Linked DNA regions of Struthio camelus. The protein of the gene in region 1 interacts with the protein of each later gene in a biochemical or structural test. Links are inferred from orthologs where the notes say so. Each region holds a gene or a part of one and is shown in the gene's direction. Other genes may lie near its edges.

Region 1 (7,970 bases):
GGTGCAGGCAGTATGGGAAGGGACTTCCTAGCTCCCGGTTTTAGCCGCCTCACCTGGGTATCTAGATTAGGGACCTTGTTTGGGGTCAGCCTCTCCAGGGGAGATGCCCTTGTACCCCGCAACTGATGGACTCTGAGCCCATTGGCACTGGCTGGAGGCAAGGACAAGGCTGACCATTGCGCTGGGCCCAGGGAAAGCTGCGTGTGGGTTTGCCTTGGCTACTGAAGAGCAAGAAATCTTCCTTCTTCCTTTGCCCCTTCCAGCATCCGTGGGCCCCTGCTGCGGTCTTTCAAGGGACAGCTGGAGGGAGTGGGGAACGAAGGTCAGGAAATCTTTGGCTATAAAATACTGTTTCCTCTGTTAATAACATCTGACCAACACCAAAAGACAAAGAGGACCAGGTGGATCAGTTTTGCACAGTGACAAGTTGGAGACTTTTTCTTAAAAGAGGGCATAGGGCGAGGGAGCAGAGCGCGGCCACGCAGCCACTGCCGAACACCAGAAGAGGACAGGCTCTCCCAGCCTGAGCAAGGAGGCAGCTGGTGCGACTGAGTCTTACTGCCCAGAGCACGTGAAAGACATGGGACTTCCCAGAGTCGGCACTCAAATTCCTCCTTGTTTGTGGACGGCTGAATTCGGTCTCAGGCACAGGCTGCTGACGCTCGGCTCTGGCTTTCTCCTCCTTATTGCAAAATCGCAGTCTGGCAAGAGTAACAGTGAAGACATCCCACCGCAGCAAAAAAAAAAAAAAAACATCCGCTGAAAAGAATTTTTTTCACATCGCACTCCTGGCAAGAGCTGGAAACCTGGGACCCTGAGGAAAGTCCTCACACCGGATCCCTGAGGGGCCTTCTCCCCATTTAGCTGGGAAGGGGAAGGAGAAAAGGGGATCTCAAGCTGTGACACATATGCCATAAGGCATTTCAACACGGTACATAGCCTACACAGCACCAGGAATTACTGCCAGTGGTGACACAAGCCATTGCTGTTGCCCATGGACAAACCCAGCAAAAAGTTGCTTTGGGAAACCTGCGATGGGGATCTGCCCTGTGTGACCTGAGAGCTTTCAAGATCATTTCATGTAGGTCCCTGCAGAGCTGTTTTACAGTACCCCAGCAGGGTTGTGCCGCCGTGTCTCAAAATTAGGCACTGCAAGCCTTAATGGCTTCATCAAAACTTTCATTTTATTCAGAAACTCAAAGTGAATCGCTCCCCTCGCTTCCCTGCTTCCGTGTTTCTGCCAAATTTCAAGCTTGGACCACTGCAGGCAGCCCTTTACGCTGTCAAAGTAGTACTGAAGTCAGCCACAGTCAAACTTGAGCAGCGAGAAGATAAGGGTGGGATAGAGGTGGCTTTCCAGGAGTCACAGGAGTCCCTTGGTCCCTTGTTTTCCAGCTGCAGGGACACACACCCAGCACAATCAGCGTGGGATTGTCAAGTGCTGCTCGCTGTACATACATAGGCCAATTCTCCATCCCAAGCCTCAGCTAATCCCTTCCCACCCTGGCCAAAGGAAATGCCTTTTCCGCCCCAGCTCTCGTTCCCGTTCGCACGACAGGCACACTCTGTCCCTTTGCTCCGGCCATTGGGAATCCCTTCACGTCCCTCTCTTCCCCTCCCCGCCTCGAATTTGCTGGAAGCAACCATATATGGTGAAAAATGGAGAAAACGGCACCAGGAAGCTACTGGAAGCTCTGCACAAGGCAGCAGCCTCTGGGCAGCCAGGCAGCAAACTCTCGCAGTGCTTTTCAGAGGCGGGAGCCAGTTATCTAGGCTGAGATGATAGACGGGGCAAAGGATGGCTGGCGACAAGAGGAGCGTGATTGCTCCAGGCAACAGCAGCCAGGGACTCCTGGTAACCAAGACCAGGAAATAAAGGCTTTTATGAGTGCTCTTGTGCATCAGGGTTGTGTTACAGGCACGATTCAGATCGATCATGGGCAGGGGGGCAGTTTTCAGCAAAAACCTTACGTTGCTGGTATGGAGCGTGATTTGTGCTGCCCAGTTTCTGCCTCACCTAATCGCTTCCCCATGACCCACTCAACAGCCCCTGCTGTCAGTGAGTCATCTCAGGGCATGGTTTCTAACTCGGCCCTTCCCTGCTCTTCAGGGTTGGGTTATCCCCGACACATCCAGTTAGTCATGCAACTCTCCCTTCCGTCACTAGCCCATGGCCAGCGAGGAGAAGGCTCTGGGCCGCTCTCCCCATCCGCCTGGATGGCACTGGCCCCAGGGCTGACTTTTCCCCTTCCTTGTGTCCACCACCAAGGCTGGAGGGATCCTCCAAGCAACATGTTGCCAGGGGAAAACAAGCTGAGGGGGGGACCGAGGCCTTAAAAAAATTGCTTAGGAGAAGGGAGGAAGCGCCCAAGAGCTGGTCTCTGCCCAAAACCATAACCGGCTTCTCTTTGATATCATTCTTTTTAAAGAGACGTGACATTTTGAAGCTTTTGTTTTACAGGCTAAAATTCCTCTGCGTTTCCAAGTCCCTTGCTTAATCCAGGGTGCTGCTTGCGTGGGAAACCTTGTGAACCGAGTCTCATCCTGAGGAAGTTGCAGCTGCTCCTCCTTCAGTGGAGAGACCACAGAGGCCTTTCCAGTCAGATGGAGGTCAGGGGAGCAAAGGGCAGAAGCTGATGGACAGATAAAAAGAAACTTGGAGAGGATCCAGGCTTTGAAACGTGCCTTGGACCATATCTCTGGCAAGCCGAGGACTTCATCGCCCTTTGACATCGCTGGAATGCATTTGACAGTTGGGGAGAAAGCCACCATGGGCTGGAAGAGCCAGGTTGGAGACCTCTTTCTTGGGAGACCTGCACCGAGGGAAACCAGAGACGGGGAGCGCAAACACGGATCCCAAAGGAACGCAAGGGTGCGAGCGGGCCAAGAACCAAATTGAGGTCTTTGGGATCGCGTATCCCATAGCTGGCAAGGCTGCAAAGAGAGCTCGGCTCGTTTCGCCAAATTAGAGCAAATCCGTAATTCTTGTGAGCCCGGGGACCTTCTCCCTAGCAAGGGACAACGGGGAGAGCTTGTCAGGACCAGACCTGCAGCAGGAAAAGGCGCACGTCCTCCATTGCGCACCTCACTGCAAAAGAGTTCTCTAGCAGCGAGGAAATTTGTCCTGCAGTTTGGCAGGCGATCAGCTTACACCCCGCAAGTTTATCTGACCATTTTTATCAGTTTATGCTAACAGGTGTGAATTAACTTTGAGGGACGGAGAGGAGGGCAAAGAAATAAAAGCACGGCGCGCGGCAGAAAGGCACGGACAAACAAGCGCCATATCAGAGGGCAAAGGACAACCGAGACAACACCGAACAAAAACACATCCCTTTCCTCGGCGGGGGGGAAGGAAGGTCTTTAGAGTCCCCCCCCACCCCACACACACACCCTGTTTCCACTCCTGCCTTTTTATGGCTCATTTAGTGGCTCCAGAAATATTACCCTCCCGTTTCCTCCCCTCTCCATGCCTGCTTTCCTGAACTGCGAAAGCATTAATCGCTCTTAAAACCCATGACAAAACAGCCTGTCGGGGAGGAACGTGTGTGCTCAGCACGACCACGCACAAATTACAATTCAAGGGTTTCTCCCAGTTAAAAGCCCCACGGGGCAGCGACACGGGTGATACGGTGTCACCCGCTCCCCAAATCCCTGCCGGGGGTATGGGGGCAAGGAGCGGGGGGTCTGCCCTTGACACGGCTCGAAACATCCCGAAGCGGAGTGGGGGGGGGGGACACGAAAGAGGGTGTAAGATGTCCCCTTTTGGCAGATGACGGTCCGATGAGTAATTCTGCTAAAACTCCTGGTGGGGAGGGGGACGTGGCTGCCCCGGGGGGGTGTCACTGGGGGTTTGGGGGGTGGGGGCCACCCTGGAGGGATGGAGATGGACTGAGAGGTGTCCCCCCCCCCACAGGGTGAGGCTTTCTCTTCTCTACCCCAATCCTGCCCTAATTCGCCCCAAATTACAGTGGGGGGAAGCAGAAGGGGGGCTGTGGAAACGCCACAGCTCACTGGGGGTTTGGGGGGGGGGGTCACAGACAGCAGCGGGGGTGGGGGCCACCCTGGAGGGATGGGGACAGACTGAGAGGTTCCTCCCCCCCCCCCCCAGGGTGAGGCTTTCTCTTCCCTTCCCCAATCCTGCCCTTATTCGCCCCAAATTACGGTGGGGGGAAGCAGAAGGGGGGCTGTGGAAACGCTGCAACTCACCGGGGCTTTGGGGGGGTGGGGGCCACCCTGGAGGGATGGGGACGGACTGAGAGGTTCCCCCCCCCACAGGGAGAGGCTTTCTCTTCCTTACCCCAATCCTGCCCTTATTCGCCCCAAATTACGGTGGGGGGAAGCAGAGGGGGGCTGTGGAAACGCCGCAACTGCCTGACGGGGGGGGGGTGTGGAAATGCCCCCAAACAGAGCTGGGGGGGGGGAAACACCCTCAGTGGGGTGAGGGGAGCCCCAGAGCCCTGTGAGGACCGCCCCAGTTCAACCAGTACCAGAGAGCCCGTCACAGTACGGCTCGTCCTGGCCGCTGCCCCCGAGCCCGCGCATCATGAGGGGGGGCTCAACCCCCCCCCCTCCCGCCCTGCCGTCCCCACAAGGAACATTACATCCTGTTCCCCGCTCACCACTGGCTCCCGCCTCCCCCGTCCTCGCTCGCCATTGGCCAGCCGCGCCGTCACTCCGTCCCCTCTCCCACTCTTGCACCCTTCCATTCTCCCGCCCTCCTGCCTGCTTCTCCGCCGCACACGCTCTCCTCTCCTTCACAAGCTGTCCACGCTCCGCACCCGGCGCGCCGATTGGCCGGCGGGGGTGTAAACAACGCGGCGGCGACCAATGGGAGCGCTGATCACGCGAGCAGCACGCTTGGCCATGCGCCCTCGGCGTGGCGCTCTTGTCATCAACAAGTGCGGGAGGGGGGAGGGCGGGGAGGCGGAGGCTATAAAAGGCCGCGTCCGGCGGGGGCCGGGCTCACACCGTTGAGGGCCGAGAGCGGAGCGGCGGGCTGCAGCAGGCGGAGGCAGCGCATCCCTTCTGCCCCACAGCTGCTAGGGAGGAAAAGGTTGACCTTTAGACTAAATTCTGACTAAAAATCAACCTTCCCGAGGTATTTTTTCCCCTCGGTTGTTGCCGTTGAGGGGGGGAAAAAAAAGCACAAAAACTGCCCAGCGTGCGCAGCTCCTTGCCTCGTCCTCAAGAGCGTCTCCCACCCTTCACCTCAGCCATGGTGATGTTCAAGAAAGTCAAGACCTTCCTCGTGGCTTTCAGCGAGCCTGAGAAGGTCTACTGCAGTGGGGAGAAGGTGGCAGGGCGCGTGGTGGTGGAGGTGGCTGAGGTCACCCGCGTCAGCGCCGTCAAAGTGCTGGCCTGCGGCGTGGCCAAAGTCAACTGGGCCAAGGGCCCCCAGCAGTGCAAGCAGGAGATGGAGTACCTGCGCTTCGAGGACGTGCTCACCCTGGAGGAGCAGCCCACTGGTGAGGACCTGGGGCTGGGAAAGGAGGGGTTGGGGGCAAAAGGTGGTGGGGAGCGGGCGGGGAGTGGGTTGGAAGTAATCACCAGCTTTGCCTGCTGGTTGTTGCCCTTCCGCAAGGGGCTGGGTTGAGTCTCCTGGTTGTGCCCGCATTGACGGGGCTAAAGCAGAAATGCTACTTTGAAGAGTTGGCATATTTGGCTGGTGAAAGGAAAAGGGAATTTAATGTTGGCCAAGTGAACTGGTTGAACCCTTGGAAACGGATGAAGGGCAAAACAGGACTCAGCTAGGCTGCAGGTTAGAGTTGGAAAACTTAGGGCTGCTGTGCTCTATCCGGAGCCCGAAACAAAAGTGAGATGGGGTGCTTGTCGGAGCGTACAAAAGACGTTAGGCATTGATGCGGCTGGCTTGGCTTGCCCAACAGGCAGTGATGCTCTGTGCCTGCAGGGAACGAGTACTGAGATTGGCTTTGGCCGGATGTCACTGTGGCAGGAGGTGCCTCTGAGTTCAGTACAGTGGCTGGTACAGTGCACGGGACAGGTGGTCAGAGAGCGGCAAGTCCAGATCTTGTCTGAGCCAAAGAGTCTCAGTCCCTTCCCTGCCTTTATCGCCCTCCCTGTTTGGCTGGCTCTGGGGAAGGCAGAGATAAGCACTTGGCAGGGTGTCTTGGAAGATAAGTGGGGAGACGTGAAATCCTCAAGGTAAACAGATAGTTGGGGAAAGAAGTTAGTACTTTGTACTCCCAGAAAGTGGAAGTAGGATGCGGTAACCAGAGGTAACAGGGTCTGAACTAAAGCCAATCAGGACTTTGTGCCCTGGTTTCAAATGAGGATGTTGAAAGAAGAAGTGAAAGTGTAGTTTAGCAGTACTTCCCTGCCCTGCGAGGACACCAGGTTCTCAGCCTGTTCTTAGGGAACAGGTGTGGGTGGCGCTTACCAAAGAACTAATAGAGCTCTTAATGCCTGCAACACCCGGACTTCATCATAGCCTGTGTAAGCAGAACAGTGGATAATGCTTAGAGCAATACTGCTGGACTTTACCTAATATCTCTCTTCTCCTTTTCTTTTCTCAGATGGGGATGGCTCTGTAATCCTGAGACCTGGAAACAAATATGAATACAAATTTGGATTCGAGCTTCCCCAAGGGTAGGTATTAGACCAGCATTGTCTGAACAAAGTAAAAAAAAAAAGCCTAACCTTAAATTCCTATGGAAAACTGTCTTGTTAGCTCCAATGTGTCTAACAAGTGTGTCTTTTCATAGGCCTCTGGGTACCACCTTCAAGGGAAAGTATGGCTGCGTGGATTATTGGGTGAAGGCTTTCTTGGAGCGCCCATCCTTTCCCACTCAGGAGATAAAGCAGCGCTTTGAGGTTATGGATCCTGTTGATGTGAACACTCCAGAATTACTGGTAAGTGCCAGTTTGTTTTGCCACCTCTGAGAGGTTTGGGTGTCAGTTAGCATTAAGGGATACAAAGGTCCTTAGGTAGGGTCAGTCTGACCTCTGTGGTTAAGACTCCCCCTAATAGGCTTTACTCTTCAGCACAGATTAAATACTTAGTTCTGAAGAACTCTCTAGAAGGCTACACTGAGGCAGGTAGAAGTGAGGCACTGGTTCTGCATTCAGTTAACTGAAAGACACTCAGTCCTCATGGGGAGTGGCAGCGTGAATTTGAGGAAGCTTGAATCACAAAACAGGAGAAGGTGAAGCTCAGGGCTGGAGAGGAGGAATGGGTTGGGAACACCGGGCAGGTTTCATCTGGGTAACGATCTTATTTCTTTTCAGTCTCCAGTTGCTGCCAAGAAGGAGAAGAAGGTGTCCTGTATGTTCATTCCTGATGGCCACGTGTCAGTCAGCGCCCAAATTGACAGAAAGGGATTTTGTGAAGGTAAGAGCCTGTCTCCCCCCCTTAGAAAAGGGAAGGAGCGGGAGCAAAGGGTGAAGGGACAAGCAGTACCTGAGCAAAGGGGCAGTAGTCAGGGGATGTTTAACTAGAAGATCAGTGAAAAACAACAAATACACTTCAAGGAAAAAGTTCTGACCTTCCTAATGCAGAACATCATTCCCTCCTCAGGTGATGAGATCTGCATCAATGCAGACTTTGAGAACACTTGCTCCCGGATTGTGGTGCCCAAAGCAGCCATCATTGCCAAGCACACCTACCTGGCCAATGGGCAGACCAAGGTGTTCACCCAGAAACTCACCTGTGTCCGAGGCAACCACATCATCTCAGGCATGTCCGAGTCCTGGCGAGGCAAAACCATCCGTGTCAAGAAGCTCAAGCCGTCTATCTTGGGCTGCAACATCTTGCGCGTGGAGTATTTCCTGCAGGTGAGTGTCTCTGATGGCTGCTATTGCTCCTCTCATGGTTAGTGGGTAAGCTTTGTCTACGGTTGGTTTCTGTCGTTGCTAACGGCATTCTGGTCTGTACCTTGCAGATCTATGTCAGTGTCCCAGGCTCCAAGAAGATCATCCTGGAACTGCCCCTTGTCATTGGCAGCCGGTCAGGC
Region 2 (6,929 bases), on another chromosome or scaffold:
GTCTCATGGATCAGGGGCCTTGGAAGTAGGGTTTTAGGCTGTGCTGCCTGCCACTTGCTTTTCTGAAACCCTGGCAAAATGTCTCGGCCTGCTCTTACTCTGCGTTGCAGGCCTGGGCTGTGGAGCTGCAGTGCTGATCTTCATCAGGAGGGCTGAAACTTTAAATGGTGAAAAGGATTTTGGCTAGGGGTAGGGAGAAGGCAGTGTCGCCATGAGAACAGAAGCTGGCTGGGTGCACGGTGGCCTCGCTAACAGCTTGATGGGTTTGTGGGATGTGGGAGACCCAAGTTCAAATTCCCGCAGCCTGTTCCGGTGGCTCCAAGCTGGTTGCTTGCTCTCAAGTGGGCATTTTCTTTTCAAGGGCCTCACGTTTGTCAGATGCGCTCAACAAAAGCAAGTGCCAAAACCACCCCGATTTCTTGTGAAATGGAATTGTTGTGCTCAGGCCAGTCCTAATTAATGTCCTTAATTAACAGGGTTGGCCTTATTTCCTGAGGCAGTTCAGGGTCCTGTTGCTGCCCTTCCCTGTGAACTTCATAGTTCCCTGTTAATACAGAGGCGGGTGGCTTGGCAGGAGAATTGAGTTCAGCAAGCAAGTTATTGCTGGTGAATGTTTCATATTTAAGAATATATCCCTTGTAGAATCTGTCAGCTCTTGGCTGGGGGTGAGGATGTGTTGCCTCTTCATCTTACCCTGCAGTCAGCCTTCACAATTTAAGGAGTGCTGAGTCTAGGTGGGCCTGACACCAGGCTTCTGAAATACTTGTCTTAAGATGCCTGGGAAACAAAGTGGGATTTGGCATAGCTAGAGAGGCTCCATGTCTGTGGTTTCCTCACACTTTGCTCTTTTTAGTCCAGTTTTTGGTGATCTAGCTATAAAAATAACTGTTAGGGAACTGTTGGAGGCATAGTGAAAACAGCAGTGTGGTCCTCACTGCCCCTGAGGAGTTCAATCCTGCTTGAAGGATTGATATGCATTTAGTTGCTAAACTACAGCTGAATTTCTTATCTGAAATCTTACCCCTGTTCACCGGGTTTGTTTTGCAGGAGGGATGGCATGCTCTGGCGAGAAGTATTTGGGTGTGCCAGTTGCCATCCAAAAACAATAGTAGGGCCCAGCTGCACGCAGACTGTACTGTCAGCCTTTAATGTCACAGGGTGGCAGGGAGCTTATGGAGCCCTGTGAAAGCCCCATAAAAGGGGCTGGGAGCCAGATGCAGCCTTCTCTGCAACGGGCTAGATTTGGCTGGTTGGGCTGGATTCGGCTCAGCTGAAATTGCCCTCGAGTGCCTGTGTTTGGTGTTTCCTTTTAGCTGGTTGCCTCCAAGGGGCCTGAAGCTGGCATCAGGAAACACTAAGCCCTGTAACTCTGGCTTAGGGCTAAGGGGTTTGGGTGAGTGTTTTGGATTGCCTGGAGCTGGGCTCGACTCCTCACCCAGGACCGATTCCTGCCCAGCAGCTGGTAGCAGTGTTAGTGTGCTGAGAGGCATCGGGGTGGGTGGTGCGTGGATCGCTCAGGTGGTATCCGCTGCGTTTCAGGATTGGGGTGATGGTGGATGAAGAGGGTTGGGGGCATTAAGTCTCGACTCCTCCTTTAAAATGGCCTCCCCGCTACGTCAGGGAGCGAACGCAGCCAGCGCGGGTGGCTGGGAGGCTTGCCGGGAGGGAGGCAGCTGCGAAGGTAGCAGCACTCGGGTTACGTGGCATCCGTGTCCTTAAAGTGGTAACTGTTTCAGGGAGCAGCACATCACGGCTTACCTGCCTGTGATGTGACCTGGTGGAGCCACGATGGGAGCTGATCTCTCCCTTCTTGAGAAGGGCTGGGGTAGGCATTGCCTGGATCAGCTGGCTCTGACCCTGTTACCAGTGAAATATGTACCTCGTATGTTGTTGTAAGATCTGGAGAGCCCTTATCGCAAGAGTGGCTGCATTGGGATCAAGTTTTCCACGCTCTAATCCAGCAGAGAAATTCCTACTGCCAGGAACTTGAGCTGGACAGCTAGGGCTGGACTTGCTGCTGAGCAGCGCTAATGTGGCCACGTGTATGCCCGGATGGGCTGGTGGCCATGGGGCAACTGTTCAGGGCTGACTGCGCTGAGGAAGCTGGAGGCTTCTCCCCTCTCTAGGGTCAGGATGACTGCTAGGCCACCTCCATGTATTTTAGGAATTGGCCTTCAGTGTACTTCCCACTAACTGTGCCATTTGTCCAGCTTTGAGCTTCACTCAGCCCAGTCTGTTTCCCTTCCAAAGGCTCGGATCTAACAGCTTGGAGGCTCTGCGAACAGGCACTTCACCTCCTACATAACCCGTACTGGAGAGTTTCACCCTGCTGGTGCCTCTGTGGTCAACCCTTTCTCTTGTGCATTTGGGTGCTGCCGCACGTGACTGGGAAAGGCAGCAGGGGTAGATGCCAGAGAGAGAAATATCCAACCACAGAAAGAATTGGGGAAGTATCTTATGCATGCATTTCATGTAGTGCGGTTGCCAAAGAAGTATAGTGTGTCCCTTTGCTTGGAAGGTGAGACCTGCGAGTCCTTCTGCTTGCTGAAGGCCGTTGAGACGTGGGATGTGCTGGGCTCCCATTGCAGTATGGGGGATGCCAGCAGATAGTCTCTCCTGCTCCAGTGCTGCTTGTATGCTGTGGGAGGGAGACCGACCTCACTGAGGCATCAAGATAAATGTTGCTGGGTAACATGAGTCTTACGGGGCATCATGGATGAGGTTTCAAAGCCAATGAAACCCAGAGATCTGGATTTGGCATCTAGTAGGTAAAACATGGATTTGTCCCCTCTGTAGGAAATCAGAGTGAAGGAAATGAGGGGGCCACAGCAAGGGAAGAAAGGTGTTTCCAAGCAAGGAGGCAGAGAAAAAGTGAGGCAAGAACAGCAGGGAAGGCAACTGTGGGCAGACAGGGCTGGGATGTGAATGGGAAGAGACGTGCAGCTCATTGAGGAAGTCATAGACTCACAGAATTAACGTGAATGTGAGTAAAGGACTGCCAGGGTTGTTCCAGGACAGCAGAGGAGATGCTTGTTGTATCGGCAAGCAGGAAGTGGTGGTTTGCTCCGCGCACAGCACTTTGAGATAACCTACGAGAGAAGTGCAGCGGCCAAAGTAAAAGGAGAAGTAAGTCTCTGCAGCACGTGGCTTGCTGGTCCTTCCTGGCAGCCTTGTTGTAGCAAGGAATGGCTGTTCCCCAAATGGGAGAGTTGGTGCAGCCAGACTTCTGGCCCTGAGCAGGGCAGGGGGGAGAGAGCAGGGCCCTTGCACCAAATCAGGTGCCCAGGGCCCCAGCGAAGGCTTTGGCTCTCCCTAACAAGGAAACACTGTCTGGGGTTTGGCAAAGTGCTTCCGCCGCTTCAGCGAGATCTGCCTTCCCAGTGAAGCAAACGTCGCTTCCGAGAGCGAGCACCGAGCCCTCAAAGAAGGGGCTTTGATTTCACGTGAATATCCCAAAGCTGATTAACCAAACTTGGGAACATCGAATCCTAGTTCTCAGGGCACCATGGCTAGGCTGAGTAACGGGAAAATCTCCTGCCTGGGATAATTGGGCCATTGATGAAGGTGTCCCAAGTGCTGGCCTGCCCTGACCTTACTCTGAAACAAGCCTCTGATTGTTGCTTTAGCTTAAGCAGGAGAAAGAGGAGGTGGGCGAGGGCTTGCCAAATAGCCAGAGGCACTGAGGCGTTGTATAAACGCGGAGGTTTTTGCTTAGTAACTGTGAATTAGGCTCTGATGCAAACCTTTGTTAGCGATGACTGAACCATGCTGTCTGGGGCATCTCCACCTTGATGATGGCCAGTGCAGCTAAGCGTGGGCACCCTGGTCTGCGCTGACCCTGAGCTGATGTTCAGTGCTCAGCTGGTCTTTCCTGGGGTTTAACCGGGGGGGGGGGGGGTTCAGTGTCACAGTGGGGCCCAGCTATCCTAATGTTCCTGAAGAACACCTTTCCTCTCTCCTTGGTCAAAAAACGGAGTATTTTCCATCCAAAGTCCAAGGTCAAGGAGGCCAACAAGTGCCTGGGCAGAAGAGCCTTACAATGTGGCCCGGCAGGAGCACAGAGCCTCCACCGTGCCTGGGGACTCTGGAGAGAAATCAAGAAGGTAGAACCACGTGACAGCCCTGAAAACGGCCCCGAGAGCTGGGTGCTGTGCATCAAAGGGCCAAATCAAACGGGGCCCAAGTACAGTGGGGTGATGGGGCTGGCAGGGCGAGCTGGGGATATTGCTGGCTCTTTTGTCTACGTGGCTATCTCTTGCATACAGTCTCCCTGATATCCTGGGTCTGCCTGCACGTCACGTGGGGGAACACGGCACGTGGGGTGACTCGGGGTTGTCAGATGGGCTGCTGCAGGTCCAGATAAGACCTCGGGCCTGAGTCTGGAGGCAGAAAATTCCTGGAATCCCAAAACAGTTTGTTTTAGTCTGTGTGTGTATATTTAGAGGGGGGGAAAAAAAATCATGAAAGTGAGTTGTCTCTTATCCTGCTATTCTGCCTATTCGTGCTTGTCTAGCTTGCAGTGCAGCCAGGCCCTGCTCTGACTGGGCTCCCAGGTGCTGGCACAATTTTGTTAAGAAATGTCTCCCATCTTCCTGAGTCAGCAGGCAGCCCAGAGCTCCTTGGAGCTAATTCCAGATGACTTGGACTTGGAGGGGGTTGTGTGCCTAGGTGCTTTCCTTTAGAAAGGACACCCTCTCTTTTTTTCTGTGAAGCTGCTTTTCCCAACGTGACTTTATAGATCACAGCCACTTGTATTCTAGAACAAAGTGTGCAACTAAACCATAGGTCTGAGAGTATTTCTAATTTAGTTTGGAAGGGTCATCTGGTTATCATTTGGACCTATTCCTTGCTCAAAACAGGATCAACTTCAAAGTTTGTTCAGGTTGCTCAGGGTGCTTTGTGCAGTGGTGAAATGGGCCCACGAAGAGTGGCCTCTCGTGGCTGCCTGCCTAGGTGTGAGGTCAAAGGAGAAAATCCAGGTGTCACAGAACTTGGTACAGAACCTGTGAGTGCACCTGACTTCCTTCTGAAATGCAAAATTGTTTTACTGGGTAGCACAGCACAGGGCTAGTAGATGAGAACTGGCACGTTTGAGGGAAGGAAGGTGAAGGTGGTTTGTAGGGGGGCAAGGCACTGAGCATTTGAAGCTAGTGAGGCTATGAAAATGCCTCCTCCCTTCTGCTCCCTTGGGGAGAAGCACAGGAAGCATAATCCTGCCATAGAGAATTCCTCTGCAAAGGAGAAGGTCTGAGCAGCAGAGACTGGGGTGTTGGAGGTAGATATTGAGTTGCTTTGGCCTGTACAGTATGTAATACCATGGCTTCCTGTGGCTTGTGCTGGTTCTGTCCTGTACTTAGAAGGGGTCCTGGGCCTGCAAGGTGGGGAACAGGCTGTCAAAGCCAGGCAGGGACCTGTCCAGCTTCCTTTGGAGGAAGCCGGGCTGCAAAGTCAGATGGCCACCCTGACTCTGAGCTTCAAAGCCTAGTTTTGGTGGGACTGAGATGATGGGAGATGTTCCAACCTCAAGGAAGTTCTGATTAATGAGGGGAGATATGGGGAGCTCTGCCTCAGGGACAGGAAGGCCTTTTTGCCCTGGTCTGCGCAGGCCATTTGCACGGTGCCTCCCTGGGAGAGGAACTGGTGCCCTGTCTGGACAGGGCCGGTGAAAGGACCGGGGAAGCCTATATATGGCAGAGTACAGGCTCCTAAACTGGTCTTGGCCAGGAGTGAGGTGAAGGCTGGGGCAGAGGGGGGACAGCCAGGCCCTCAAACCTAACCCTTTTCTCTTTTCTCTTTTTTTTTTTCCCCCCTCCTTCCTGCAGATGACGGCTCGCCTGATGCTGGCAGTGGGAGGAGCGGTGCTGGGTTCCCTGCAGTTCGGCTATAACACCGGTGTCATCAATGCCCCACAGAAGGTGAGAGCTAAACGGGATTGCCCACGGTGCCCTGCCATTCTCCAGGGCCACCTGTGCAATCACACACCCATTGTCACAGCAGCAGGCATGATGCAGTTAGAGCCTTGGGCATGGACACAACACAGCATGTGTTAGCCTGAATGTGGCAACATGCGCAATATGGAACGGCATTGCTGTAGCAAAACATACCTCTTTCAACATGACCCCACGCTTGAAAACAAACACACCTACTTCCCACCTCTCGCATCCACTATGAGCCTGGCTAAAATAGTACATCCTGTTAGGCAGCTTACTGTCTCTAATGGGATTTGTTAAGGAGTTATTTAGCTCTTGTGTTCCCAGGGGAATTAGTTTCCTCTTTGCTTAGCATTTTACTAAAGAATTCTGGGAACAAATATGTATGCTCGAGAAGCCAAGGCTCTTTGGGTGGGAGCTGGGTAGCTTTTAACCTCGGCCTTAGCAAAGATCTCAAAGCCAATTAGGCTCTTAGTCATCTTGGGGGCGGTGACCTCTCAAATGGGCAGCGAAAAGAGCTGGTTGTTTTCCCACATGAAGGTGAGAGCAGGAGCCCTAACGCACTAGGGCACACTGTGGGAACTGCTGCATTTTCTCTGGTGTGGCTTTGCAGGGTGAGCAGGCCTGGGAGTGCTTACCGACGTGGCCTCGGAGATGTAGATAACAGTCCTGGTGGGCTGCCTTAGGGAAGGGCAGATAATTATTGCCCTGATGGAAGCAACACTCAGGAGGCTCTGAAATGCTGATGAGTTAGGTTGGTTTGTCGGTTAGCCTCGGTTTGTCCCACCTCAAAGGAAGTGGGGCACACCAAACCCTCTGTCTGATGAGCGTTTCCACCTGCTTTCTGCCCCTGTGATCTGCAGGGTGCAGGTGGCATCAGCTTGAGTTTGAGCTGCGGATGGAAGATTACCTGTCTGTCTTCCTGCTCACACCCTCCTGTGCTGCCCTTTTGCAGCTGTGCCAGGATGTTTGGTGAGCTCAGTCATCCTTGACTCAGCA

Evidence for each region. The genes of interacting proteins can lie anywhere in the genome.
Region 2: the proteins of TXNIP (region 1) and SLC2A1 form a complex in vitro, tested with the Homo sapiens proteins (2 studies listed by BioGRID). The link is inferred for Struthio camelus from reciprocal best matches to the Homo sapiens genes TXNIP and SLC2A1.

Annotation. Positions count from the first base shown.
Region 1 is NC_090971.1:3,047,469-3,055,438, forward strand, and holds the start of TXNIP (thioredoxin-interacting protein), read left to right. Parts: upstream 1-4,958; 5' UTR 4,959-5,215; coding exon 5,216-5,465; intron 5,466-6,533; coding exon 6,534-6,606; intron 6,607-6,722; coding exon 6,723-6,870; intron 6,871-7,245; coding exon 7,246-7,348; intron 7,349-7,534; coding exon 7,535-7,791; intron 7,792-7,898; coding exon 7,899-7,970. UniProt on the Homo sapiens protein: May act as an oxidative stress mediator by inhibiting thioredoxin activity or by limiting its bioavailability.
Region 2 is NC_090962.1:8,721,795-8,728,723, reverse strand, and holds the start of SLC2A1 (solute carrier family 2, facilitated glucose transporter member 1), read left to right. Parts: upstream 1-3,914; 5' UTR 3,915-3,929; coding exon 3,930-4,103; intron 4,104-5,822; coding exon 5,823-5,915; intron 5,916-6,929. UniProt on the Homo sapiens protein: Facilitative glucose transporter, which is responsible for constitutive or basal glucose uptake. Has a very broad substrate specificity; can transport a wide range of aldoses including both pentoses and hexoses.